Styela clava: one gene and its partners. The protein of the gene in region 2 binds, or shares a complex with, the protein of the main gene of each other region. Links are inferred from orthologs where the notes say so. Each region holds a gene or a part of one and is shown on either strand. Other genes may lie near its edges. The genes, in order: integrator complex subunit 2-like, integrator complex subunit 1-like, integrator complex subunit 12-like and integrator complex subunit 7-like.

Region 1 (7,541 bases), on a different chromosome or scaffold from region 2:
TTGCATGCCTCACTTGATAATTCAAGAATCACATGTACACTTAACGTTCACATTCAAATTCACATGGAAGCACCAAAAATACAGGAAGTTATAGGTGTAGTTGATGTGATACACATACAGCTTACTTATCTGACAAGTAGGTTTAGAAATCTGGAATTGCATTATAATTATCTTGAATGTCCTGCATATAATAAACGATACTGAAAGGCAAAGATTTTGACAGAGTTCAAATAACCATAGCTGATGGAAATATCAAAAGTGATCTTACCAATTTACATAAAACCTTTCCTCCATTGGGAACATACATCAGTGCTTCTGCCATGTCCAATATATTTAATAATGTTGGCAATTCTAACAAACAGAAATAAATACTTTGCTAAAAATTTCACTTCATATTAGAGACAAGAGAGCTACGCACAAATATATGGACACGTTAGACCAGAGCGAATCAGTCCTTACCGGTACCTTTGACGCTACCGGTACCCTCAAAAAAGTTCTGAATTTCCAGTAGCAAGAATTTTGCAGAATCAAAACGTACAGCCAGTCATGACACTGACTAAAATCCGTGTTCCCATGGATAAAAAATAATACAGCAAAATTTTAGACGAAATATCAAATTTCATAGAATTCACGCAAAATTTTGAAATAAATAAAAGTAATAGCCTTCTAGCGAAAAAATTAATCTTTAACCACTGAAAATTTCAAAGCAATTGGTCCAGTATTCGAAGAGAAAAGCGACTTTTAAAAACGTGTCAAAGAACAAGAACAACAACAACATAATATTGAAACGATCGTTATGTCCACTAAACGTGTCCAATAAAGCTATGTTAAACTTTATTCATACGGGAATATGGTATACACAATCAGTATGACCATTGCAAGTTGCAACATCTATAACAAGGTTTAACAAAGTTTACAACATCAACAATAAAATCAAATTTACAGAAAGTTGAGAACTTTAGCACCCAAATATCGCTTGTTTCTTATTTTACCTGCGACTGCAATACAAAGAACATCAGAAACAACTTGAAGATAAGCAATACAACTAAATAATTCAGATTTTGTAGCAAATCCATCATCATCTAAGACTAAGGATTTTGATCCTTCACCTGTTTAGAAGAAATATGGCACCATAAAATTATCAAATTTGTATTTACCGTAATAACTACAATATATATAACTATGATACAAATTTCATATTAGGCAATGAAGTTTTCTATTAATTAAGGAAAAGGTTAGACGTAGTGCATCAGGCATAGCAGCAAAAATTCAAATCATTCTGATAGTTTTATTATAATCTTGTAACCTGAATTTGAAAATGCAACCAGCAATGGCATGATATCTGAAATCAGTAAACGCAATTTTCGAGCAGGTTCACTTCTTTCAAATTCTAAGATGAGACCATGTTTTTGGAGATTGGATGTAATTACACTTCTGCCTCCAGTTGTAATTTTTTGCCTATAAAACAAATTAACAGAAGTTATGCCTTTCTTGAAAATCTTAGATAGGCCTGTATCATAAATTACACACTGAATCACACTGATGTCAAAATTTTCGAAAGGTAGTATTCAAAGTTAAGCATATATAAAAAGCTTCGAATTATTCTTATACCATAATTTAATCGTGCATGCCAAAAGCTTAAAGAAACTTTTCTTGTATTAGTCAAAGTTACTTGTGCAAAATATTACAGTTGTATTTAATGATAGTTATGCAAATATTTCTATTTCCAACTCGATTGCAAATTGACTTTGAGAAAACTAGCATGAAAATATTCCACTCCCACTATATTTTTATACATGAAGAACGATAATGATTGGTTATGCGTAGAACTAGGCATTTTAAATTGAGTATTCAAATGGAATAGTAAATTATTTGAATCGGTTCAGGCGAGAATTGTGAATCGTCGGCATCTTGTTTGTGTCCACCCAAAGAATAAGATGAATCATTCATTTTTTTATTTATTGTGCCATATTTTTAAAACACAATTGTGACATATGACTCTTTTCACCTGAGTAAGTTATTGATGAGGCATGTTTCTTGTGCGTGAACACTCATCGAACTGTCTGAGTGATAGATTTCATATTTTCGAAGTAATCGAAATTTGATTTTGAAATCATCAGATACAGTATTCGAAAATGCCCAGACCCAGTTATGAGACTAGTAGAAATTTTACAAATGGCAATCTTACTAACAGTAACACAAAGTTGAGTTTAAAATTCTTGAAACAAAGTAATGAGGTTAATCTCAATGTTTGGTGATTGTGATGGTTGAAATGTAAACATATGCATAAAAAATAGAAGAATAAACACCTTGTTTTTTGTTCTGTTTTAGCATCAATTTCTAAAGCATGAAAATCAACAGATAACAGAGCGACAATGTCATTGACATCTTCTATTCCTGATAATAACTGCATTAGATCTTTCTGATTTTCTTCCCATCTAAAATAAAAAATATTGAAATGAATTTTTAACGAACTCAGTGTTAGATAATATCACAATTAGAATGTTTTATGAACTATAAGCAAAGATACATACGATATATGCCTAACAACGATTTCAATTTAGATAAGCTATTTGCGTTTTTACTTGTATATAACAATACATGCGAATGCCGAAAGACAATTCAAATTATTATTGCATTTGAACAGCAATTTCTCAATAATCGATATTTATACTAAAAACCAAATAGAGAGTAAGATGGGAATGAATATTCGAGCATTTTTATAAATTTCTCGAATAAACAAATTTGAAAAAATATATTCACATCTTCATATTTTACCTCCATGTTTTGTCCAATGAAGAACACAACAGCATGCGACTGAGAGAAGGTAGCAAAGGTCTGATGGATGAAGCAGGATTTTGTAATAACGTATTAATGTCAAGATTTGCATATGCTTCCAATATTTCAGGAGCTATATTGGCGAGCATGATTTTTTATTTTTCTTCTAAAATGCACATATGAAAACTACACTATCTTCTATGTAAATCTAAATAAATATAAAGGTTGCTTCAAATTTAAATGCTTATTATTCTGTTTTATGTTATTGAAAACTGTTGTCTTGTTAATGTATAAGAGGCTCATAGCACCACTCTCAGACTCTTTCATATGTACCGTACTCGATAAGTTGGATAAGATGGGAATCCAAATGTGTGTTAGTTTGCAATATAATAAATTATGCCAGTAGATGTTTAGGGGGTTCAAGTTAGTGTAGTGTTTGACAACTTTCGAGTAAATTATATGCTATCGAATTACAAGCATGGCTTAACTACACTAAACCTGTAAACCCAGCAACTGTATCAAGAAGTCTGCGAATAAAAATACCATAATTTAGATGGGCATATCATAAACTGTTTTATTTAAAACCTGTGTTACATAATAAAACACACACACAAATATGGGGTTTAGTGAAGTAAACGCTGTGACTGTTCAAATAAAGCCAAACAAACAAAAATATGTGAATTTTAATGTGATAAAAAAAAGTATTCAGCTTGAAGTGACGCTTGGGAGACCCTGTTGACAAACAAAAAGTTCAAACACACAAAAAATTAGTCAATCTGGTTGATTGGGGTAATCAGAGTTAAATTTAATTTTGGCGTAATTCGTCCATGATGAGTTTTTCGCGGTTTACTATTGACAAGCAAAGTCAAGTAGCCTAGCTTAGCGTCTTAAGTGATATGCAGGATATGGCATGCAGAATTTGTTGATCTCTCAAAAGTCTTAAGAAAAAGGGGCGCATGACGCAGAAAAAAAATTATTGAAATAGGCGTTGGTTTAGTTCAAATCAAATCTACTCAATTTCCAGCCAAGCAGCTATGTCCCATGCAGTTTAGAGACACATTTATTTTAAAAAATGAAAATTTGGATGGTGTTTTCACATCCTATTTTTTTTGATTGGCGTTATTAAATCACTTATAGCCTAGCATTCTTTTTCACACCACATTTGTGTTTGGTGATCTTTATGCAGTTGCGGGCTTACGGCGTTTACTTCGCGAAACCCCAAATATGAAATATAGACGTCTGAAGGACAAGCAAATACTTATTTTAAGTTTTAATCACGAAGAATATCGGCTACCGTTTGATTATTTCTGAGCATATTGTCTTGCGTTTATATATGCTGCGAGTTTTCATTTCACAGTTTTGTAGGTGAAATTACCACGGTCAGACTTGACTGCGACTCTCGACCGATGAACAGAAAAGTGAATTACACTACCGGTACAGTATTAGAAAGCGTATTTATAAAGTTTAATATAACCCTGCATGTCGTACTGGCCAGTGCGGAACGACACGTGCAATGTTTTGTTACGCTTTACTAGTTATTTCATCATTCATTTCGTTCGCGTCCGCGTCGTATTGTCGGAGTAACGTCGGCCCGATCTTGATTAACCCATAACAAATAATTTGTGCAAACCAAAAAATTTGGGGGGTTATGATATTATTAACATACCCATTTTTACAATGTGCATGTACATAATTAGTGTCTTGGATTATTATAAAGCTAGAGAATGTGATTATAATGAGGATTACAATCATATTTGTATGTCCTTTGTTGAATACAATATTGGACAACAACTTAGTACATTTTGGGGGATTAGAACTAAAAATACATGTTTACATAGATTTTGTCCTCAAAGTGAGTATAGATTAATATTAGAATTTTTAAGAAAGCATAACATAAGTAGTACAGATATAAAAGAAGATATGCATAAAACTATTTATAAAAAAATTGTTATTTCTATGAATGGGGACAGATTAATTTTTCTACGCAATTGTAATTTAAATATTGCATGTGAGAATATTCATAATAATATTCTGGCAAACTATATGAAAACCTTTAATTTCAAGTTAATGTGGGATATTTTACCAGTAAAAACAAAACCTGGAATAAGAAATATAGCAGGAAATGATATGTGTGTGTTATGTGGAAAAGAACCAGAATTTGTTAGCCATCTATTTATGAATTGTGAATATTTCGATTATGTTTTTGATTTTATGGAAAATACTGTAAGGAAATTAAATAATGCCAGGCTTTTGAAAAATTATGAAACTTGTGTTTCATTGGATTTAAGCTATTTGTTACATTCCAACATTACAAGACGAGATTTAGATATTATTGTTTATTTAATTTCAATCACTAGATATAAAATATGGATACAAAGAAATTCTGTTATATTCGAAGGTAATCCCCCTAATCAGCACCTAGTTATCAAACAAATAAAAACTGCAATCACTTACAGACTCAACATTGAAAAAAATAGAAAATCACTAAATTTTGTCAGAGAATTTGAAATACTAAGGAATTGTATTTGAACTATAAATCTAGTGTGTATAAATTTAGTATATATTAAAATGAACATGTCTAATATATATTTAATTTTTTACGTTTATTGTACATAATCTAACTCAATATACTAAAAATTGATGAATTGTATGCCGATGCGATCAACACCTCAAACACTGATGGAATGGACATATGAAAAATGAATATTGGATTATTTATCTTATGATTGCTCGAATGGTTATATACTTTTTGTTATAATTTATTATATTATCCCATTAAAAAAAAAAAAAAAAAAAAAAAATACTACGACGACTTTTTTCTGTAAACTGCGTTGCATGTCATTCTAATTGTGCTGATTTTTAGCGTTTGTATGAATATTAGAAGAACATTTTTTTCCGTGAACTTAAAAGATTTGGCGAAGGGTTTGAAATTTGGTCCAGCAACTAATTTACAAAATTGTTTGCTGCGTAAAAATCAGCAACGGAATTCGCTACTGTTGAATTGGGAAAGATATTTTGCGTCCCCAACTGCTCGGGTGAGACCCGTTTTATTTTGTTATACTGTCTTTATACAAAATAACTGTCTAATTAGCTATAACAGTCAGACAGTAGGCAATACTGCAATAACGAACTACTGAACTAAGCAGATAAGTTTGCAAAATACCTACCGTCAGACCGTACTGCCGTACGGTACCGTACCTTCGAACCTTGCCATATTTTGTTAATTTCCTGATTTCAATAATACCTACTGTAATATCAAATAGTAGTCTATCTATGCTATAGGGCAGGTATAATTTTATTTTTACTCCATAATCAGCATACTGACATAAATACCAGGCAATATAAAATATTATCCAACCTGATTTAGGTACTGAATTACAGAAGAGTAAACAGAATAAAAAAGTTTTTTTCTCACAGAAATGTATTGTTCAGTTGTTAAAGACAGTGCCGTGTGTTTATTCACCTAAAATTTTGTTAAAAGTTGTTGATTCTTCGAAACATATAGATTGAAGTACCGTATGCTAACCTTACAACTTCATTTGGTTCACTGATTCCTGGATTCTGTAATTGCGTTGTGCTAAGCCTGTAAGCATTAGGAATACGCTTTCCATCACACCTCTGATTACCCCGTGGGAGTTACTCTGATAATAATTGTGATTCTCATACCGAACATCCATGGACTTCAGGACTTTGTAACCAGACAAGAAGCCCTAGATGGCAATAGGATTTTCAACTTCCCTAATCCTAATTGCTGAATTTTTAATAGCATCAGATTGCAGATTTAAAAAGTTTAATAGTCTCGTTGAAAACATAGTTTTAAACGGCGTATTCTAATTTCTCCTATTTGTCTGACAATTCACTGATTTGGACGTGAATTATACAGTTATATGTCCGTACTTGAACACTATTCCAGTATAATGTTTTGATTGGTATGCTTTATTATTATATTTTTTCAATCAGGTTCCGAAGAAAAAATTAAAAGAAGCTGAACTGCAACTAAGATTAAAAGAACAAGAGATTTATCGAAAGAATTTAATAAAACATTTGTCTCCAGACATAAACGAAACAATGGATGAAATTGAAATGGAAAAACAAATGCAACCACTGCGACTCTCAGTCAAAGAGCAGGTCTGTTCAACTCCTCTTCTTTTCACTGTGTGTTTTAAGTGTTTGGTTTTGAATCATGTACTTTTTGAACCATATTTTAGTGAGGATTGGTATTATATTTATCATATTAAAGCATTGTTTTACAGGGTGACATTGTTCGATCACTAAAAGAAAGCAATGCTGCTGTTGTTGATTTACAACAAGCTATCGCAGAGTTGAAAGTACGAAAGAGAAAACTTCAAGAAAAGGAAAATGAACTTGCATCCAAAGAACAGTTTCCAAGAAAAGTTTTTGATGATACTATCAAAAGAAGATTCTTTTATGGACAAGCATTTGAATTATATGGGGGTTTGTATGAATTTAATCGAAATGAATTTGGACACAGTGCTTTTTTTCTGTGCTGAAGTTTATTGTGCTTAAATGCTATGTTCTGTTCTAGTTTAATGTTTCATATCATGATTTGATATATCTATCTTTATTAATTAGCAATAATATGTTATACATTGGAAATGCCACCCAAGTACATTGGATATCATATCATTATATCTGCATTGCAGAACAATATATTTCTTGGTTTTCCACCATTTTATTTAATCTAGGTGTCAGCGGATTATATGATTTTGGGCCAGTGGGTTGCATGTTGAAGAATAACATGA
Region 2 (6,857 bases):
CCATACTTTCATCACTATCCCATTTAATTGTCTCAGTAATTGCATCAACTGCTTTTGAATGAACAAAGTTGTAGTTAGGTAGGGACACAAGTTGATATAGCAGCCACTCATAGTCTTCTAGAACAGGTTGTACATGGCATATTTTTGGTTCATTGGTATCCATGTCCTCATCCCTCAGAACGAGAGATAGAGCATGCTTTGCTCTCAGTCTTGTTTCATATTGTGGGGAATGTAGCCTGCGTAAAAAATAGTTTATTGGTTGCCAGGATTCTTCAGTTTGTTGATTTCGTAATGAATTTTGAAGTTGAGCGACAATTTCTTTCTCTTGTATTAGCTTGTTTTCTGCTTTGCTATCATCAACACTGCTCGCCATGAGATATTCACAAAGGCATTGTACTGGAAGCATACTCATATCTCCTTTGGCAGAGCCAACCAGACTAGACAACCATGGCATTGCCTGGTCTTCTCCGTGTCTATTAATGATGTATAATAAGAAATCTGGATTTCTAGATCTGCATAAACCGGCTCCAACTTGAATCTGACTACATATCAATCGAGTCTTGTTTAGTATATGTTCAGGTGGTCGACGAGGTGGGCCTTTTGTGTCCATAGCAATAAGTTGAGAAAGCAACAAACTTGTCTCCTCTGTTACAGCAAGATGTGTGGTGGCTGCTGCCAAATGTGATTCAAACTCAATAATTTCATTTTTCTCCATCTCCACCATTTGCATTTCTTTATTCACAATTTGTGATCTCTCATTTTCATCAACTACTGTTGCCAGTGGAAATGTGAAATTGTTTATGATTGCCATCTCCATGAAACTTCTAAGAATTGGATATTCATTCCACGCCTGAAGACCTATAGAGCTGGGATTAAAAGAAGAAATAATAAGCAAAGTTTGCCAAATTGACCAATACAGCAGAGAAATTGCTAAAGACGGTGGCACATAGTCAGAGGGAAGATGGATATTTTCAGGATGATGATATTGAGCGAGAGATAACAATGTGTCAATGACATCCCTTCTCTCGACTGGAATAGGGTTGAAATGTGGTTTCGCCAAAGCACCAGCTCTGTGAACTAATTGACCAATAAGCTCAAGAGTCTCTGCCGGAGCGATTGGATGTTCGTGTGAAAGGCCAATGACAGCCAGTCGCATGATTGTGTCTTCCAGTAATGGAACTTCCGCACAGTGTTTTACCATCATTGCTCTTTCAGATTCAGGTGGCCAGTTATCCTTCATGTAGTAGGTTTCAGCGGACTTCAGAAAAAGCAGTTTGTGAATATGCTGTCCCAAATCCGGTGTTGTAATTTTAGGTAAAAGAAGGGGAACTGCAGTGGCATGTAACCACCAAACAGCATCTCGTTGCATTGCAGCTAAATCCAATTTATGGCCATGAAAAATAGTATCATGATCAACTTCTGATGTGGGGGTGGCCTTTTTCGTAATAACCCCAATTGCCTCTTTTACTGTCGGAGAGATACTTACTAACATCAGAAGACATACTAAATCAGCAGTGGAAGAAACAAATCTCTCTTTATGAGCCTGATCCAAATGCATGAACTTTTCACGATCTGGCTCTTTCATTATACCAAGGGCAAATGAAGTAAACTGTACATCATGCTTTGCAATTCTTACTATTTCCCTAACAAGTGCACGAACGGCTCTTAAATAATCTTCTTTTTGAAGTAGAAGATCTTGGCAAACTATTGCCAAAGTTTCTGCAGCAATTTTGGGCTTATGTTGTAGAAGAGCAGCTATAACAGACATGTTTGTAGGATTCCTGGCACTGGATAATTCATTATAAATAATGTAGCTGAACAATGTATTGATTGAATCCTTATGAGCATCTATCAAAATTTTTAAACACTGAATATAATGATTTAGAAGTGCCTTGGTTTTGAGACGCATTTTAACCAAGCAAGATATAACATCAACATCATCCTGATTATGATCTCGGCAGTTAACACATATCGACATAAGTAGGTCTTGTGTAGATTTTGCTAGCTTAGGATTTTGAGACCACATTTCCAGTTTATGAGCAGCTATAACACGTATCTCCGATATTCCACACATTGCAATTAATGTTTTGATCAAATGACGACCTGAAGCAGCACCTGTTGGGTCCTGTGCAGAAATAGTGCCCTGTCTGCGATTAACTCTCTCTCGAACCATATCTATTGCATAAAGTCGTACAAGTTCTGCTGAAGCCATGAAACGCTTAGAAACATTTTTTTCATCTTCAGAAGATTCATCTTTTTCCTTCATATCCACATCTTCTCCAGTATCAACTTTATGTTCTTTTGAAATCCGAACGGTGTCAAAAGCGGTACTAACACTGGATACAAATTTTTTACACTTGGGATGATCAACCCATATTCGATCACTCAATGAGTCTTCAATGAAAACTTTTACCAAGAGTGAAGGCCAGCTATAGTTCTGCTCAAATCCTGCAAAGAGAAGATTGCAAGCGAGCACAGCAGAAATGCTATTCCCTTTCGATTTAATATATTCCAATCCGACATCTTTTTTAAGAAGTCCCACTAGACATTCAACTACCATTTCACTGGTAAAAATAGAGGGCTGTTTTTTTGCCAAAACCATCAATGTATACACAATTACCTGATCAGGCCGGAGTCTGTTTGCTCGTAAAACACGAATTGCCCCACAAACTAATCCATCAACCGTTTCCTGATCTTTGGCCTCTGTAACTTTCTTTAGTAAATCTTGGGCAGCAGCATCAATGTATTTGACAGACGGTTCAGGAATAGTGGGTGACATACGAGATTGGTGAGAAGACGTTGCTGCGGCTATGGTGTGGAATGTAGATACCTTCTTTATCGACGGTAGGCTTGGTTCAGGGGCTGCTCTCTGAAGTTCAGTTTTGCTTTTTCCAAGTGCAATTAAATCCGCAGGTGGCCCTGGACGAAGTCTCTTAGGAGGCCCGCTGGTAGTCCGTTTCATGATTGTTAGACAGACAGACCAGGTATAATATACTAAGATTCAACTATTATCTGTGAAAATGAGGTTGAATAATAAATTTTAGCATGCTGTAACAAACAAAAAAACATAGCAAACAAAAAAAAAAAGTAGTTAAGAAATATGCTATTACCACATTCCTGATATATTAGCTTGGTTATGAAGACAATGTAGGAGCAAAAGATATGTGCATATTTTTTTCTTTGTATTTTCACTACTCCTGCATGTCCCACAGTGCTGATTAGCTTGAAGCCATCACATGGTGTTTTTCACTTATATAAATGTATTACCACTAGCCCAAGGCTCGATTAGGGATTACCTCAGGGGTTTTTATTCTTCTTGGTCAAGAATGACCCCAATGAAATATTCCAGAGGCACAAGGAACCACTGTACAATTGATTACGGTATGTGTTATCATATACCGATAATATGCCAATCTAAAAATGTGAAACAACAATTTGACGCGAAACACCTAAAGGTCTCCTTCACAGAACACGGGGGAACACACCTATTATAGGATATTATTGTACTTGTGTATCTGATTATATATGAATGATATACATAATTCATAAAATTTTAAATTAGACTTGAAACTACCCCAAATTTTAAAAAAAGTAGGAAAGACAAGTGCATTTTGTATATCTGTAGCCTATCAGGTAAACAATATATAGTAAACAAACATGAGACGAGAGGTACCTGTCCAATCACTTTTATATTTGTATTGGGTGGAAACTGACTCTGATGAGTGATGACATGATCCAAAAATGTCGTATCAATGCCTCTCATTTTTATTTCTTATTTTTATATGTTGCATATAAAATATAAACCATCTGTATAACAGCCTATGTCTCATTGGTTTGGCAAATGCTGAAATGATATATTCCCTCTCTATAAGAAATTTCACAATCTTATGTGTTAAACATGAAGTTTGATTTGAATGTTTAAACTTTCCTGTTTTTTGTCTTTTATGTTTGTCCTCTCACAGTTTGTATTGTAATATTTTTGTACTATACAGCTACCATCTGACCGTGAGGAGCAAAAATATCTTATCTAAGCTGTAATGGTAATCAATTTTTATCAAATTTTGCCTGCATGGTCTACTATAAATACATTGTTCTGTTGTTACATAACATAACGACATAGAATTCACCCTTTTGATACCCGACCCCCGTCAACCCTTTTAGATACTAACATTTACAATGAGCAGATGTTTCCCCGAGCATCGATTCTTCTTTCCAAACCAAGATTTATCAATACATACTGGTATATGCTCTTCATGCGTGGTATCACACATATTTACATAGTGGCTTTGACATTCCTGAGATGTATACATACATGCAGACATGTGTATGACTGCAACCTAGTAATTATTGCACAAGTAGATAGCAGTTTACTGCCCCATTGTGCATATTTCAAATAAGTAGATATTATGCTCTTCTGTGGTTAATGAACAGGGCTAACTGGGTTATTCTGAAGGTAAAACTTAAATGAATTTCATTATACAGTTATACAATCCAGTATTCAGGTATTCTTAATCCATATTACTAATTAGATGTGAGAGAATTTCATATTGTGAATTTTTGTATTATATGTCAGTATGTCATATATTATAGTTAACAAAGCATGGCCGCTGAATGGGAATCACAATACCGGTACCATTTTATTATAACAACCAGTAAATTTTTATTTATAAATTCTTGGTTTGTCTCAAATGAAATTGATATACATAACTTGTTAACGTGTAGGTGTAGACTAGTGATCCAATTGTTAAATCATTTTTTATTCTGTTATCATAAAACTTACTTGCTGCATTCTGATATCTGGATATATACCCCCACTCGCCACTCTTTAATTGCGGTTCATGCAGGCTGCAGCAATGGTTAGAAACTGGCTTTTTTGGCCCTACAATTAGATTGTAGTGCATATTAGGTTTTTCCGGATGTATTAACCAATATCTTGGTCTCTCCTGTCAAATTAATACACTGTTTTATATATATTTCATGTCTTATCATTCTGCACATATTTCTAATCATTTTCTGATATCCCACCTATACACAACATTAGGTCTGGTGCTATGCCATCCTCGTAGCCCAAAACTGCTCGGCTAGATGGCTCTATAAATTCATATGATGCTCCATGATATAATATAACTACATTTTTAATTACCGATAAGCGGTTGTTATAGATCTTTTTTTTTTTTTTTTTTGCCAAATTTAATTCCAGCGCCAATATGGAATTATTTAATTATGTTTTTGAAGCCAGTTAAATTTTCAGTTTTTGTTTTATATAATTTTTTTATTTTAACTTTAACTGTGAGCGTAATAAATATTAGGCCGTGAGCCGAGGCCCTGAAAAACGCCTAGAAAGTGAGTTTCGTAGCGCACATCAGGTAACTACCTGAAGATGATTTTAAAATGTTCCTTAAAAATTTAGTAACAAATATTGCCTTGTTCCCACTTCCAAAAGTTGCACGTTTTACGGAAAAGACGCTTTTACTACAAGAAATATGTGCTACGATCTGTCCTATATTCTCTACATTTTCGGCAATGAACAATGACTTCTGCATGACGTAACAATTGAATCGAATCAGCTGTTAGCGAGCGGATGAATATTAGTTATTACTGCTCGACCTTGCGTTGAGTTGGGCAGCCTTTTCATAGCCCTGTTTAGTTATTATTGGTTAAGTTATGCTAAGACGTTGTTGAAAAATGTATGAGTAAGTTATTAAACACTTGTAGATCCTTACCACGGATATGGGCCGTGAGACGAAGGCTTGAAAACGCCCAGAAAATGAGTTTCGTAGCGCACATCTGGTAACTAAATAAATTCTTCAGTTTTGTGTGAAAATGAACATACTGAACGCATTACAGCTTGTTCCACAATCCTGATGCGAAATTGAATATAAGAGGTTCCCGGAAATTCAATAACCATAAGTTTACAACACATACATAAGAACTATGCAATTCGAGAGCCCTACAGCACACTAACACAAATGTATTCCTGTAATGTTTTGCCTGACCAAAATCGGACTTCCTCAGTCAATCATAATTTATTAGGTAGATTACGAAAAATATGGTATACATGTAACCAACAACAAAAAATACTGTAATTGTGTGACAGGAGTCGCGAGTGACATCGAAAGCAACGACACCAACAACGCTGATTCACATTAGCAAATAAATTTTATGTAATAACCACAAGCAGTTTACAACAAGAACAGCATAAAAAGCTACATCCATTTTATAGAAGCTATTAAACGTATTTATTTTTAAGCAATGAAGTCACAAATTAACATCGTGAGCACGAAAACACAAATAAATCAGTTATTTCTCACTTAGAAATTTACCGGAAAAGTCAAGAAAATTAATGTACAATATGTACATAACATAGTGAACAGAAATATTACAATCAGTCTTTTTTTAGTTTATGTGGTTATGTATTTGAACAAAGGCAATATTATTTCTAGAAACAGGAAAATCGACTTTTCCTCTATAAGTGTACTGTGATTTTTGCAGTCAATACAAAAACAAAAATCTGTCCAATTTAAGTTGATTTTGGCACACTTGCATAAATTATTTTGACTATTTTTCTTACACTTGCAGTTTGCCAACTCAAGAACTGATTTGAGAGCCACATGCTTCTTCAGTGAATCATTGTTGGTTGGAGGAGTATAATCCTTATGTTTGCCAGTGTTAAATAGACGTGCCCTGGTATCATTTACATTCTTCATATCCTCTTCATACAGTGAACAAACAAATTCCTCAGCTTTATTTATTAATGCCTCGTTAACCTCAAAAGATCTTCATAGTTGAGAAAAAAATGAATTGAAAACCTCAATGAAGTCTCCAACATGAGTTTGATGGGCAGTTCCAATTGCAGA
Region 3 (7,013 bases), on a different chromosome or scaffold from region 2:
ACAACATAAATATAAAGAAAATTATTTCTCTGTTGTTCTGAATTATTCCTGCCATCAAAAATTCACTATATTGAATATTGGTATTTGAAATGTATCCAAATAATTTCCAATTTTTTTGGACAGCCAGGGATAGCTTCCCTCACCTATCTTCTTTTACCAGTTGCAATCACTTTGATCAGTCACATAAATCAGTTACAAATATTCCGGCCAGTCATGCTCTATTACCTCCAACCACTATTATTCCGACCAGTTACACATCATTAACCAATTTCATCACCTACCTTCCACCAGTTGCTATCACTTTGGTCAGTCACATAAATAATGTCCCCTTCATCAATTGACAACTCATCTTTCTGTTGCGCTTCATAAGGATACAGAGCTCGAAATGTCTTTACCATTCCTGGTTTTGGAGCTAGCCTGGGAGGGGGTGGCCTTGATTTCGAAGACATTTTTGTGGTCGTTTAGGGGTTAATTAGTTTATAAGACTATTGTTATTTAATTGAACCTGGAAAAAGCAGAAAATTAGGCATTTGAAATTTAATAACAAAAGTACATAACATGTAGAGTTTTTGATGAATTTTAAAACAGGCTTGGCGCTTTCATTGGGACTACAGTTGTCATTCCCAAGAAAAATTCACAATACAACCAACCATATACATTATAACATCATTTTGAACCTATAACAAATATCTAAACAGTAAACACAAAGAAACCAAAAATTTGGGATAGTTAGCAGATTAGTTTTGAATTAGTTTTTCAAGTAAAGTCCTATGTTATGTTATTGAAAATGAAAAGCTCAGAACAATTTTATTTTAAGTCTTCCAATTACTGTTTTGTTAGCACCAGAATTTTTTTGAATGGAAATTCGCTCAAAGCAAGTTCACATGTAATCACTCATAAATCAAAGATATCTGAGTGGAGTCCTGGGCAACCACCAGGAAGTCGAGAACTACTGGGGCTATAATGAATTATAGAGTCTTGTTTCGCCAATCACCGAGTCATTACTGTAATATTGCGAAGTCATGAATAAAAAATCATATCTTCGATTTCTTTGAATTTAACTTCGCTTTTTTCTTCATGTTTTGGAATCTTTTCTCCGCACTGGCGAGACTAGTGGTTGCTGCCGCTTTAGGAAACATTGAAGATTTAGAAGTAGAAATCCATGACGATGGATTTGACTTATGTGAACTTGATTTTGACGAACTCGCCATTCCTGTCGGTAAATCAGCTCCAAGAGCTTCGGCAAATGCATCCGATACAGCAAGTTTGGGCCCAACTTTTGGCATTTTAGTAGATTTATCACGCTTTTCTTTAGAAGATAGAACCCCAGATGTAGTAGGTTTTACTTGTTTTGTTGTCGCTGATGGTTGGGGAATTGTTTTTCCACTCAAAGCAGCCCATCCAGATAACGACCCCCCAACTGATCCATTTCCAGATGACTGTAAAGTCGATTTTATTTCATTCCGCTTAAAAGGCGTTACAAAAGCTGATTTATTTTTTGGTTCGAAAGAATTATCTCGAACCAGATTAGGTCTGGCGACAGTAGAAGGCTTCGAACTAATCTGTTTTGCAACTTTCTTCGTACAAACTGAGCAATTCCATAAACAACGAGGATCATTTGCGTCTTCACTTATCGGTGGCTGATGGCAATCGCGATGATACCAATTATGGCATTCCTGGCATTCAATCGTATTTCCTTTATCATTAGAGAAGCCTTTACAAACGACGCATGCAAGCTCGTCCATCTCAATGGCATAATCTTTATCATCTGATGCCAAAGGTGACCGTTTCGACTCGTTCCCACTTCTAAATTTGTCGTTCGATAAAAATGCTGGTGACTGGCTATCGAGACGAGACTTTTTCGAGACCTCTTGATCAAGTTCTAACAAATCTTTTTGTATTTTTTCAAATTGTCGTTTCTGGGCTGAATCTTTTTCCTTCTTCTTTGTGTCATGTGTTTTCACAATTTTCACTGAATGTTTCCCAGTTTTCACATTTAACGATTTGTCTATATTTGATTTAACGTCTTGTTTTTTTTTTAAACTTTGCTCAATGGCATCATCGAGCATTCGTTTCAATTTTGCCGTTGAATCTGGGCTTTTCGACCACAAATAATCGAGTGCTTTCACAAACATGGGATCTAACTCATTTGTTGCAACAGCCATTATCAATTAGACTTTAAGACAAAATTAGAGCTAGTTATATTTGATACTGTAATACAACAACAAAATAGAGAATTTTATCAATTAGGAATGCCATTCTAAAAAAATAAGAGTTAAAACTCAAAAGACTGAGGAAAGTTCAGAGCGTAAGATCAGGAGGATAGAGAGAGGCATAACACGAAACAGGAAAGTGTTGCAGTTCAGCAGTTGACGACGTCATCATTTCACGCATGTGAAGGAGAGCTTGACAAAGTATCAGGAACTTTCTCATTTCATACCTACCGCTACCTTGTTAGACTAACACTTAGACGGTTAGTTGGAACTGTAGAACAACACCAAACAGACCATGTCAGCATGTGCCCAACATTCTGTCATTCACTGTATTACAGTATTAAGACATTCCAGCATTAAGTTGTCTTATGTTTCTCTTTTACCAGAAATTTGAAGTACTGAAGACTGAAGTACCGTACCTAGATCTAAAAGTCATACAGGTACCGGTATCGTACTATTCACCGATCCTTTTTTTTTTTTGCCAAATTCAAATCCATTGCCAAATTGGATTTTTATGAAAATTATAGTTTTGGTTTATCCAAATATATATTTCAATTTTATTGCATGAGGCCCAAATTTTATTTTGTAATGTAAATAGCATGGGGTTCCATGTGATGCAGTAACCATTAAGACATAGACTATAATTTCCATTATCATCACTTATATAATATACAATATAAATAGTCAATTTATCCATCATTAGCATTTTTATGAAAAACAATTTTTTTTTAAAGAATTAGATAAATAATCAGAAAAACACCTACGGCAGTACGGTATCATGCCATAGGTGATTTCTACATTTTCCATCTACCGGTACCACCGTATGTAATCTTCTTAAAAAAAAAAAAAAACTAGACATTTCACACAAATTAATAAATACGGTTCACCGATTCTAACCCTCGACATATTGTGGCTCGAAATATGAACGAATATTTTTAATAGAAATGCCCCAGCTGATAAAATTGACGACAGCCAAAACAACAAAAATCTGATCTACTTTCACTTTGTGAGAAAACTGTTTGCGAGAATAATATTTTCCAGAAAAGGCGCGGAAAAAAAAATTCGAGAATGAACTTTTGCGCGAATATAATTTTGCCGGCTGTAGGCTATTTGTTGACCAAAATATATTTTACGCTTAAGTGCTTATTCGTATAGGAAAAAGTTACGAATAGTTGATAGTTATGTTCTTGATGTTATTGCTATTACTTGTCTATTTAATTACCGGTTATACCGGTAACGACTTGGAATGGTAACCGGACGAGAGGCCATGGTTCGCCATATGGATAAGCCGTCTTATCGGCTTTCCTCTCCCCCGGGATAAATATGTAAATCCTATCCTATCCTATTTGCACCTTTACAGCTACGGACATTTTTTTTTAATTTTTTCTTATTAAAAACATCACTTTTTATACACACGATAACACATAAATACAATTGCACGTAAAAAATGAGTTTATGATACCTTACCACTTCTTTATGTGGTTCGACAGCTACGGACATTTGCGCCCGCAGACGAATAGTTCATTAAAGTTGAAGCAACTTAAATACCTTCACTGGTCATTTTTTTCATCGAAATAACTCGAATGCATTATTAAATCGCATACCGCAAGTAGGGGTGATATAAAGAGGTAGACTCTTCCCACGGTAGTGTTTGTTCAATACACACTGGCAGATACAAATATGTCATGAAAAATACATCGCGCATAAGTAACTAAATGCACAAGAAAGCAATGTTCAAATATACGGACACGAAATTCGCGCTTCGGTAACGATACCGTCAACAAGTGTACTGAAATATATGAGTACAAGTTATACAAAGGAAGTCGAAAAAGAAGCGTTTTATTTAAACAACAGCAACAAGCATTCAACCCAACGATTTATATGTACAGTTTGTTTTTCAGCTGAAAAAAAGATATACAAATATACATGTTGGCAAACGTGCAGTTTTCATATTTTATCCAAAAAAGAGAAAGAAAGATGATACTATTATTGGATCATTTGGAGAAACAATGCTTCGGTTTATCAGTCGGGATATGTATGTACCGTGTTTCCCCGAATCTACCCTGAAAATAATACCTAGCCTAGGGTTGCCATACCGTCCGGAAAATTCCGGACATGTCCGGAATTTAGGGTTAAAATTTGCGTCCGGGAGGAATTTTGAAAAATGCTCAAATGTCCGGAATTTTACTGCATCTGCAATCGTAATGTGCACACTGCTAATACAGAACATTGTTATTTCGTACCGTGCGCATATTTTTACTACGAGGTTGTATGGAATTTTAATATAACAGAGCGTTTTCCTTATCAATGGTGTTAAAGTTGTAAACGTCTATGAGAGATGCTTGGAATACCTGTGCAAATGGATGAAACCAATGGAAGAGTTTACTTGTTTCAAATGGATAACCTTGAACGAGATACCAAGTTGGAAGGATGTAAAGCAGGGGTTGGCATCCTACGGCCCGCGGGCCAGATCCGGTACGCAGAGCAATATAATCCGGCCCGCGACGCTTCACTGGATTATAGTAACAAAACAGCTGTTTTAACGATTATATTCTTTACGTAACAGAATTAATTTTGCGACACGCGTAGGCTAAAGTATGTTATAACTCACAATTGCGCGTTTAATGACCCTATAATTTAATTATAATTACACAAATGGCAACAAAACGCAGAAAAGTTGATGCTTAGCGCAAATGGTTTGATGGTGCAGAAAATATTCAAATGGTCAGTCTTCGTGCGCTGCTCTAAATTTAACTTCTGATCTGTGTGAAAAAAGTGTGATTCATCGGCTATCCGTTCGGTTTTCAACATTCTAAAAATATGAGGCCCGCCAATGACTTGCAACCTTTGGTTTTGGCCCGCGAGCGACAAAAAGTTGCCGACCCCTGATGTAAAGCCTTGCCTGGAACATCTGATATAGTAATAAAATAGTAAACGGGTTGATGTGGACGATGATAAATGCTTTGACCAATTCTGTAACTTGAAGCAGTTTGTGGAAAGTTACCTACAAGACGAAGAATTTATTAAACTGCCAACGCATAAGAAATGGTGCAAATATTTCGATCAGTCTACGAACATCACATGCCACTCCGAAATTTTAAGGATTGAACTGTTTTTCTTTGCTGTTACATTCCACAATGTCAATGTAGAGAGAGTCTTTTCACTGATGCAAAGTCAGTGGACTAAAGAGAGAAACAAGTTGCGACTATAAAAGGCATGTTGACTCTCCAATATAATTTCAAAGATATGCACTGTAGTGAATTGTTTTCATTTTTGAAATCAGACAAGAAGAGAATTAGATCTTCAGAAAAATATGCATGGTCAGAAGAGTAAATTTGTAGTGATTGTCTTTAATTTGTTTTAAGCATGTAAGTGCTGTTCTTCCGTTTCGGCACAATCTAATTCTCATTCTTATTTTTCACTCTGAAGTTGAGATTTTTTCAGTCGACGGCCCGTAGCTATATTTAGAGTGTGCTTACCTGCCTGGTGTGAGATTCTGCTTGTGACTGAAGACAATACTTTTCATTTCGGTAGCTGGCGCTTTAGCATGAGTATCGTACAACGTTAGCATGAGTATCGTACAACGTTTGCAGGCTTAGCATTTCGGTAGCGCATATATATGGTCTCATGAAAATAGGGACCTCCAGAAAGAAGTATGCGCACCAAGATGGCGCACAACCTGAACATAGTTTTTGTGTACCGGTTAGGACTAAGGTTGTGCGACATTGCCGACATAGTCATGCACTGTCCGGAATTTTGCTTCTTCAAATATGGTAACCCTAACCTAGCCTGAATTTTAGGAATGATTTTAATATAAGCCCTCCCCTTAAAATAGGACCTATTCAATACCGCAAATTTTTTTTACCTGGTCGATAGCAAGAAATCTCTCCCATACGTTATAAATGATTAATCTAAAACGTGTGAGAGAGAAAAACGTGTCATTAAGTAATGGATATCAGTTTTAATATTTTTATATTTGAAAATATCCTAATTTTGTACTTTCTAATTTTGTTTTTGATAAATAAAATTATAAGACATCCCCAGAAAATAAGCCCTAGTGGTATTTTTCGAAATAAAATTAAAATAAGACACTGTCTTATTTTCAGGGAAACACGGTATGTATGTTTTATTTGCCTCAAAAATGTAACAGTATCTGCCTAATAATTAAACAGTAAAACAGAGACGGGATACATGTTCAAGACCTTATTACCTTATTGGCCCAAGACACAGATGTACGACATGTACCCCTAGCAATTATAACAGCAGTTTAGGACTGCTGCGTTATACTAGGACAACAGACATAAAATTGACTATACAAATAAAAAAAAATACACAAGACAAAGAGGTACGACACAACGACAATATGTACAATAGTCAGTTTATGGCACGTCCATATCCCAGGTTCCGGTGTGAAAAGATGGAGACAGGGTATGGATCGCTGAATCGATATGTTTTTACACTATGTCTCACGAAACACGTAAAGATTTGTTAGGGATATAAACTTGCCAGAAACCAACGTTGGATGTAAAAGATAAATGTAGAAAACCTTTGTTTGAACTTGAGTTGTTAATCATATGATAATAGCTAAATAGTTTGTCGGTTGGTAAAAGTGCTAGGTGGGTAATGACAAGTGGGGAAATCTGCATTGTGGTCACGTGTATGCGAACCGCACTGCGACGAGGAGAAATCCAGCAACCCTTTTGGCCGGCCTGACCTAGCGTTGTGGCCAGCACGGAAATCTCTTGGCGCTTCCAGCGACTCATTTTCCATAAATGCAGTTATTGGTATAGTTATATGCTG
Region 4 (6,917 bases), on a different chromosome or scaffold from region 2:
TTATTGCAAATACTTGTAGCAAATTCCCCCGAATGTGAAGCAAATTGAATAGTTGCATATATTGCAGCTTCCTGCTCAACACGATCATGCGAATCCAAACCTTGTCTTATACTGTGGTGAACACTTTTTTCATCACTTATTATACAAGCAATACTGCCCAGCATCCTGAAAAATTACCAAGTCATTAACAGCTACCGGTAATTGAAATTGGCTAATTCAAATCTCATCTCACCCCCCACGCACACACACATCTACACCAGGGTGATTGACAGGGGTCCACCAGGGTGATTAACAGGGGTGTAGCCAGAAATTTTCATGGGGGGGGTTCTGAAATTTTTATTTGGCAAGTTAGATCGAAACAGCTAGCGGGACTAATCGACTCTAGAATACGCGTGTTTTTATTAGTCTTGAGGGTCTAAAAAGCATTTAAAGCTACGAAAAATTGCTATCTATGATACAGAAAAAAGATTTTATTTTTTTTACATTTCAAAAGGGGGGTTTCGACCCGCAAAACCACCCCTCTGGCTACGCCACTGGTAATTGATCAGGCAATTACAAGTCAGAAAGATCCCGGTCCTCCCAAATATTGTTAGAGATCAGTGGCAGCTCGTAAAGAGCCTTGCTAAGAGCGAACAAAGTGTGTGAGCATCATATTAAATAAAATAAAAAATGAGTAGTGAAATATAAGTAGTTAGCATGATGAAATACATTTGGTAAGGAATATAATTGTATTGATCCAGCTTTCGAAATAGGCCTACTAATGGTTCACAATGAATAGATTAAGATCCTAATTGCAACAAAAATGAACAAAAAAAAAATATTGAGATTGTATGCGATAGTCGGTCTGGTAGAACAAGGTTGAGGAACTCATTTTTAGAAAACCAACCTTAAAGTTATTGCTCTTGCATATGGATCATTGCTATGAATAACTACAGAAATTCTTCTTCTAAATTCTGTTATGTTGAGAATTTTATCAAGATGTTTATTGCTTTGCTGAGACACTCGAAGTATACAAAGACGAAGAAAATTATTCCTGAAAAAATAATTTGTCAGTTTGTCGATGTTTAAAAACCGAGAATTTCTATCCATAAGTATATACATAAAAATGATCGCTGCGATTTGTTCGAACTAACAAAAACTGTACCTACTTCGTGACAAATATGCTTTTAGAGAAATGATAAAAACCCTAATGTTTTATTAATCAAGATTCAAACTGAAAACCTGAATACGACAATAGATTGACTGCGCTTCATCTAACATCAAGTATCAAAATACGATGCTTGAGGGAAATATATGAAGAGATTCAGTTATAGTAGGCCTATATATATAAATACATATGTTGATTTACACATGTCAAATAAAATTGCTACACATTTCATAATTCTTCATGACTGTATCAGTGCATACCTATTTTCATTACTTCAAATGCTTGATCATCATTAATAAAAAAGGCTGCTTTACGCTACCGTTTTTACTAACACAATTAGTCTATAGCCTTAACCAAATTTATTTTTAAGAAATATTCATTTCTGATAAGGAATCTGATGTTTACCCAACACGAAACACATCTGCCAGCTTCAAGAATGCAGAGTTGATAAGAATTGGGAATGGAAATCTCTCAAATAATCCAGGAAATCGAACAATTGCTTCACATTGCTGGCCAACTTTTTGAGCACGAAGACCTTTGAAAGAATATTGAATAAAATAATATTTGAATATCAGGATACTGTGGTACTGTTATATAAGTATAAGTATAAGTTTATTTCGACTCCATAATCAGCAAAACAATAAAATGAATGCTAAAAATAAATAAATAAAAACTGATTATGAAATCAGGAGAGCGAACAAAACCTTAGATAAGGTTTAAAACGTACAGAATGTATATAAGATGGAAGGTTTTGCCAAGAAGATGTGGTACGTGTTCACTCACCTAAAATAATTGAAATATTTCACACACGCTCACACGCACCCACACACACAACCATATAGAAGTTATTAAGTAAAGGGAACATGAAAAATTACATACTGGTAGTTAATAAAAAATAAATAAATAAAAATTACTTGCCACACCATATGTTATGTTACATAAATTAAAAGATAGCAAAAATTCATGGCTCGGCGGTGTGGCGCTTCGTGCTAAGCATTACTGATATGCTCTGATTGCTCTGCGTGGATTCTCAGGTTCGAATCTTGCGGGGGATGGAATGGTGGTCGGTACAGCTTCCTCCACCATCAAGTTCATGCATCGAAAAACGAATACCTGACTGACTAATCCCATATTCGACATGGACTGGTAACCGAACGGGAGGCTGTGGTTCATCAATGGATTAAGCCGTTTTATTGACTTTGCTCTCCCCCAGGATAAATAAGTAAATCCTATCCTATATCTAACTCTTTACACTTACCAGTCTGCCAGTGAATTGCTAATATAGGACAGTAGGAACAGACTATTTTTGCACAGAAACAAGTAAAATAACTCCATATACTGATATACCCGGTACTGATATACTGATATATATACTATTTTCAATATTGTGTAAATGGTCATACAGTCACAAGTGAGATTGCCCATGTTATGTATCCATTATTCTATTTTGTTACATAAACATAAATCAAAACAATCCAAAACGTAAGCATACAAACAGTAGGCAAATATATTAACAATAGAATTTTACTTTTATGCCATGTTAAAACCTTATTATGCCATTTTTTGTACGATGGCGAGTTCAAATAAATTATTTTATGTTATTTATTTGTTCATATGTTGTATTCATTGTACTACTGACCTAAGAGTAGATTATTACAAGCAGGCTTACCTTTATCAAGTTCCATGAGCGCCGAGTTGGCATCTTGATTTTGTTCGTCCATCATGATTGACTTATGATTTGTAATGATAGGCAGACGCCAAAATATTCAAAGGAAAAGAGGAAGCCTGTTTACAGAATGGCTAGCGAAATGCGATGTGCTAAGTAGATCCTCTCGCCACGAGCAATCGTCTTGAGTGAAGTCATGCGTGCAGGTATCGTGAAATCACGTGTTATAATTGAAAGAGAAAAAAAGGGTGATCGTTCTCTTCGCGGGGGAATTCGGTTTGCGTATTCCATAATACTGTAATACGTACCGTAATACACTTGGGGAGGAATCCTTGGCATGGTTATGTTGAGCATAATTCAGTGATTTGGGGTTCATTATCGTCGACATATTATTATTATTCTGTGACATCGTCGTCCATAAACTTCCGGATTTTTTTGGTACACTCTCTGCATTTGAAACGCGATATCAGGATACTGGGATATGTGCTAAGTTAAAATTATCACGAGGATATAGCCTATTTCTGTATTTGAATATGGATAGCAAAAGTATGATTGCATAGTTTGCTGCAATGCATAAATTTGTCACTGAAGCACATTGTACAGGGCAGCTCTCTGCCTATGATTGGTGATGTAAAAATATTGTAAGAAATTGAAAAGTCTTAGAACAAACTTTTGTGCAATGAATAATTCATATCTGTTCCAGTTCACAATAATATCTGAATATGTGATGTAAAACTGTAATAGAGTAATGCCAGCTGTGTCTGTTCAATAGTTGCAGATTATTTCAGTATATACATATTTGTTTGGTACTTCAGTAGGCTACTGTAACAAACCAATGTTGCAATATGTCTGGTTTGAATGATGACTTTCCTGCGATTGATAGCACTGTACTGGATGATCTTGAACGGCAAACAGAAAAACTCTCTAACAGCCTTGGCAATATAGTTAAGAAACTGACTAATAAACTACACGAGACATCAGCAATTACTGTGGCTAATTCACAAACATATAGCAGTGCAATTGAAGCTATGGGAGTTGAGATTGATGACTCAATGAAATCGATGTACATGCTGATTGCTCATTGTGAGGAACTTGATAAAGCAATGGTTCCTGTGTATAAAGTTGGTCAAAGCATCAAAAAAATTCAAAATTCTCTGCTGATGCTAGAAGCTCAAGTTGCTCAAATACCATGATTACAGTTTTTTTTTATTCAGACTAGGAATCTTATGTATTAGTTTATGAGTCTTCGATAAAGTAATAATAACTAATTCTTAATATAAAATAATAAATATAGAATCATTTTGTTTTGACATTCAAATTTTTTTTTTATTTCAAAAAATTCCAAATTTTACATTATTGTTATGAATTGTGAAATACAATAATATACTGCTGTACTGATATACTGCTTATATATTTAATCAAATGAAACATGTCTATTCAAGTGTTATATTACATCAAAGCCATTTTTAATAGGCATTTCTATTTGCAGATTTCAACAAGTAATATTAACTAATTTGTAATTTCTATGCAAGTGTTAGGACAGAATTATGCATTTTATTGTTTTACCTAAGTTTTATTATTTATTTTCGATGGTTTGAATTTGTTTTTGCTTTGTTTGATTATTTAGGGTTGAGCCTGATTATTAATCTATTTATTTAACTTCGAATAATATTAAAAATATTAATTTGGTTTTACATCTGACAATGCTTTGATCTCAGTTTCAGTATTGTATTATATTCCTAATGGCCGAGGTAAGTTCCAGTAATTCAAACGATCATTCCCACAATCGTAAGGCTTTGACTGTAGGAACAAGATATTGTGGAACTGTCACAGTTTATAAAGAAGATAAAGGATATGGATTTTTTTCGGTCCCTAATCACGATAATGTATTTTTTCATATGACGACAATGCGAAATTGTGGTATTACATCAGGAATATCGAGGGGTGATAAATTTTGCTTCGATGTTAAAGAACACATTGGTCGTGATAGTAAACTGGATTTTAGAGCAGAAGCAGTTACAAGACTTGAACGAAATCATCAAATGCAGAACCAGGATAGCAGGAAACAACCTCACAAGCATGATAAACACCAACATGGCACGTATAGTAATGGTAACTCCGGAGCATTCGTTTCGATCCCACATCCTCATGATGTCAAAGTTCACGGTAAAAAAGAGGTTTCTTCGAAACATGGTGAAATAGTTGAAAAAAATTTGTACAGAGAAAAGCACGAACGGAGACCAAAACCGAAGCCTATAGATTTAAGCTCAGGAAAAATTCGTGTTGGTCCCCCATGCGTTGTTCCTGCAATGAGGAAAGGGCCAATTGTAGTCTCTGCCACTGGGCCTAATTCTGCTGGAATGGCCCCAAGACTAGAGGATCCTGAAGTTGTGAGACTGAAAGAGAACATTGGTAAGAAAAAAACACTTTTTCGCAGTTTAAAACTAGATAAACTTCCAGATGGTGGTAGAAGACTGAAAGATGAAATAAACAATTTGGAACTTGAACTGCAAAAATTATCCATGAAAAGCAAAAATAAAGATAAAAGTCATGATTCAACTCCTTCAAAACTCATTGACAAAGAGAATCAACTACCTCTTTCAAACGCTGATGCAATGCCTAAGCATACACGACCATGGTTAGAGTCATATTCAAGAAAGCCTGATGCTCAAGGTGCTGTAATGATAGCACCTCCTATGGCTTTTAACTCTGCTCCTGATAGGAAACTTACTCAAACAAAACTTACGTTCCCAAAAGCGGAACCATTTGGGGCGAGAACAGGAAAATTAGATCTTAGTGCATATGATATGGGTCCAATGCAATTTAACGATGGTCCGTTATATGGAGGAAGAATGACAAGTGCTCGTCTGACTGAAGTCCGTCAGGTAATATATTATACCATAGTTGTACTTCTAATCTTCTTGAGAATATTTCATATTGTAATCTAAAATTTAAAAGCTTAGCTTTTTATTATCGTTTTTCATTCAGTCAGCTGGTCAGCATTTTTATTGCCTAAATGTTTAAAATTATTCATACCCTAATTTTGGGTAGTATTTACTATTTAGTATCCGAGATATAACCAAATATTGAAATGAGTTTCATGATTATTATTATTATTCCCAGATAACAAAGGCTGCAATTGAGGACCTTCACAAGTCTCTGGAAACGAGACCTGAACCCACAGGAGAACTGGATGATCCTGAAGGCCTGAAGGTTAGATAAATGAATTCCATCAAAAGATGTATGCAAGTGTGGTCCATATAAAAACATTTCTTGATACTTGGTCATCTTCTAAGATTGAGTAAGAAAATGCAGTTTTGTGTAAACGCTAGGGCTGGGAATTTCAGGGAAACACCTCAGCATGACGTTTGACATAATAATTTATAATATTAACTTGTTACGTCACAATGGCTGCAAAGTAATTTCAGGTGGTCTTATCCCAGTATCAATCAAAATTATTCATGAAGCGAGATAGTTTCATGATTGCTCTTCTGCAAAATGATATGCAGCATGCTTTGCACATATGGAAGTATTTTAGTAAAACCCGATTCCATTATTAAATGTTATTTATGTGACAAATTTTCAGTGTTTGATGTGCAAATTCTATTTTGAGATACCATAAGAAAAACAGCATTACCTGCACACTTGTTGGATGACATTAAGTAGGCCTATATGATTTTGCAATAAAATTGTGAACTATAATATAGGCTACTTCGACCGAAAACTGATTCTGAATTTATCATTGTCAAATTTTCATAATCAGCAATATTTTTTTGAATTAAAATGCCGCAGAAGATAAATTTGCGATGACGTAATCATTTTTAAAAAATAGTACATTATAAAGAGGATTTGTACCCAAGATGTCAGTCAACGGTTAAAATAAATCAGGACCTCCTGAAGTATACGCACCAAGATGGCCCACAACCTGAACTCAGGTTGTGTACCAGGTTAGGGTTCAGGTTGTGCGACATCTTGGTGCGCATACTTCAGGAGTACCATAAATTATAACCATGAACGGTGAACCAAAACGTATATTGCACATATACTGAAATAAACCCTGTTTCTCTACAGGTAACATTAATGACCCATCAACGACAAGCACTT

What was found.
Region 1: the proteins of integrator complex subunit 1-like (region 2) and integrator complex subunit 2-like are in contact, whole or in part, in a cryo-EM structure (PDB 8RC4), measured with the Homo sapiens proteins. The link is inferred for Styela clava from reciprocal best matches to the Homo sapiens genes INTS1 and INTS2. Residues at the interface, in NP_001073922.2 of Homo sapiens: Gly561, Ile562, Ala563, Trp564, Asp565, Lys566, Gly567, Ser982, His1055, Met1056, Thr1058, Pro1060, Glu1095, Arg1096, Thr1098, Ile1099, His1102, Leu1107, Arg1225, Ser1250, Phe1251, Gly1252, Ile1253, Tyr1285, His1288, Glu1291, Val1292, Gln1293, Glu1295, Arg1296; in NP_065799.2 of Homo sapiens: Pro40, Leu54, Lys69, Leu72, Arg73, Leu75, Ser76, Gly77, Val78, Glu79, Val81, Asn82, Val85, Gly125, Thr127, Leu128, Glu131, His132, Glu166, Val172, Tyr173, Glu176, Arg322, Gln325, Gln326, Arg329, Gly400, Lys402, Thr769, Met772.
Region 3: integrator complex subunit 1-like (region 2) and integrator complex subunit 12-like share a complex: the UniProt entries of both Homo sapiens proteins name them as parts of the integrator complex. The link is inferred for Styela clava from reciprocal best matches to the Homo sapiens genes INTS1 and INTS12.
Region 4: the proteins of integrator complex subunit 1-like (region 2) and integrator complex subunit 7-like are in contact, whole or in part, in a cryo-EM structure (PDB 8RC4), measured with the Homo sapiens proteins. The link is inferred for Styela clava from reciprocal best matches to the Homo sapiens genes INTS1 and INTS7. Residues at the interface, in NP_001073922.2 of Homo sapiens: Leu1378, Gln1381, Gln1382, Gly1385, Gln1386, Ala1389, His1429, Phe1430, Leu1431, Cys1433, Pro1434, Arg1437, Gln1438, Cys1440, Gln1441, Pro1476, Ala1479, Gln1480, Met1483, Leu1484, Gln1487, Arg1552, Pro1554, His1555, Leu1556, Glu1557, Glu1558, Pro1613, Ser1614, Gly1616; in NP_056249.1 of Homo sapiens: His150, Asp151, Leu187, Ala188, Thr189, Pro190, Val191, Lys194, Thr223, Ser224, Tyr225, Pro226, Ser227, Thr228, Asn262, Asp263, Pro264, Arg265, Lys266, Pro303, Tyr304, Gln349, Glu350, Cys352, Tyr353, His354, Asn355, Arg357, Ala360, Gln384.

What each region holds. Positions count from the first base shown.
Region 1 is NC_135252.1:11,598,748-11,606,288, reverse strand, and holds the start of integrator complex subunit 2-like, read right to left. Parts: upstream 3,013-7,541; 5' UTR 2,928-3,012; coding exon 2,779-2,927; intron 2,439-2,778; coding exon 2,310-2,438; intron 1,459-2,309; coding exon 1,307-1,458; intron 1,110-1,306; coding exon 993-1,109; intron 352-992; coding exon 269-351; intron 1-268. Other genes in the region: glycine--tRNA ligase-like, read left to right, coding at 5,649-5,813, 6,739-6,906, 7,032-7,233, 7,485-7,541. UniProt on the Homo sapiens protein: Component of the integrator complex, a multiprotein complex that terminates RNA polymerase II (Pol II) transcription in the promoter-proximal region of genes.
Region 2 is NC_135257.1:9,680,838-9,687,694, forward strand, and holds the start of integrator complex subunit 1-like, read right to left. Parts: upstream 3,009-6,857; 5' UTR 2,963-3,008; coding exon 1-2,962. UniProt on the Homo sapiens protein: Component of the integrator complex, a multiprotein complex that terminates RNA polymerase II (Pol II) transcription in the promoter-proximal region of genes.
Region 3 is NC_135253.1:23,033,421-23,040,433, forward strand, and holds integrator complex subunit 12-like, read right to left. Parts: upstream 2,234-7,013; 5' UTR 2,166-2,233; coding exon 1,035-2,165; 3' UTR 506-1,034; downstream 1-505. Other genes in the region: osteoclast-stimulating factor 1-like, read right to left, coding at 282-449. UniProt on the Homo sapiens protein: Component of the integrator complex, a multiprotein complex that terminates RNA polymerase II (Pol II) transcription in the promoter-proximal region of genes.
Region 4 is NC_135253.1:7,957,970-7,964,886, reverse strand, and holds the start of integrator complex subunit 7-like, read right to left. Parts: upstream 3,018-6,917; 5' UTR 2,872-3,017; coding exon 2,817-2,871; intron 1,683-2,816; coding exon 1,553-1,682; intron 1,034-1,552; coding exon 887-1,033; intron 166-886; coding exon 1-165. Other genes in the region: BLOC-1-related complex subunit 6-like, read left to right, coding at 3,659-4,006; transcription termination factor 2-like, read left to right, coding at 4,556-5,698, 5,937-6,026, 6,885-6,917. UniProt on the Homo sapiens protein: Component of the integrator complex, a multiprotein complex that terminates RNA polymerase II (Pol II) transcription in the promoter-proximal region of genes.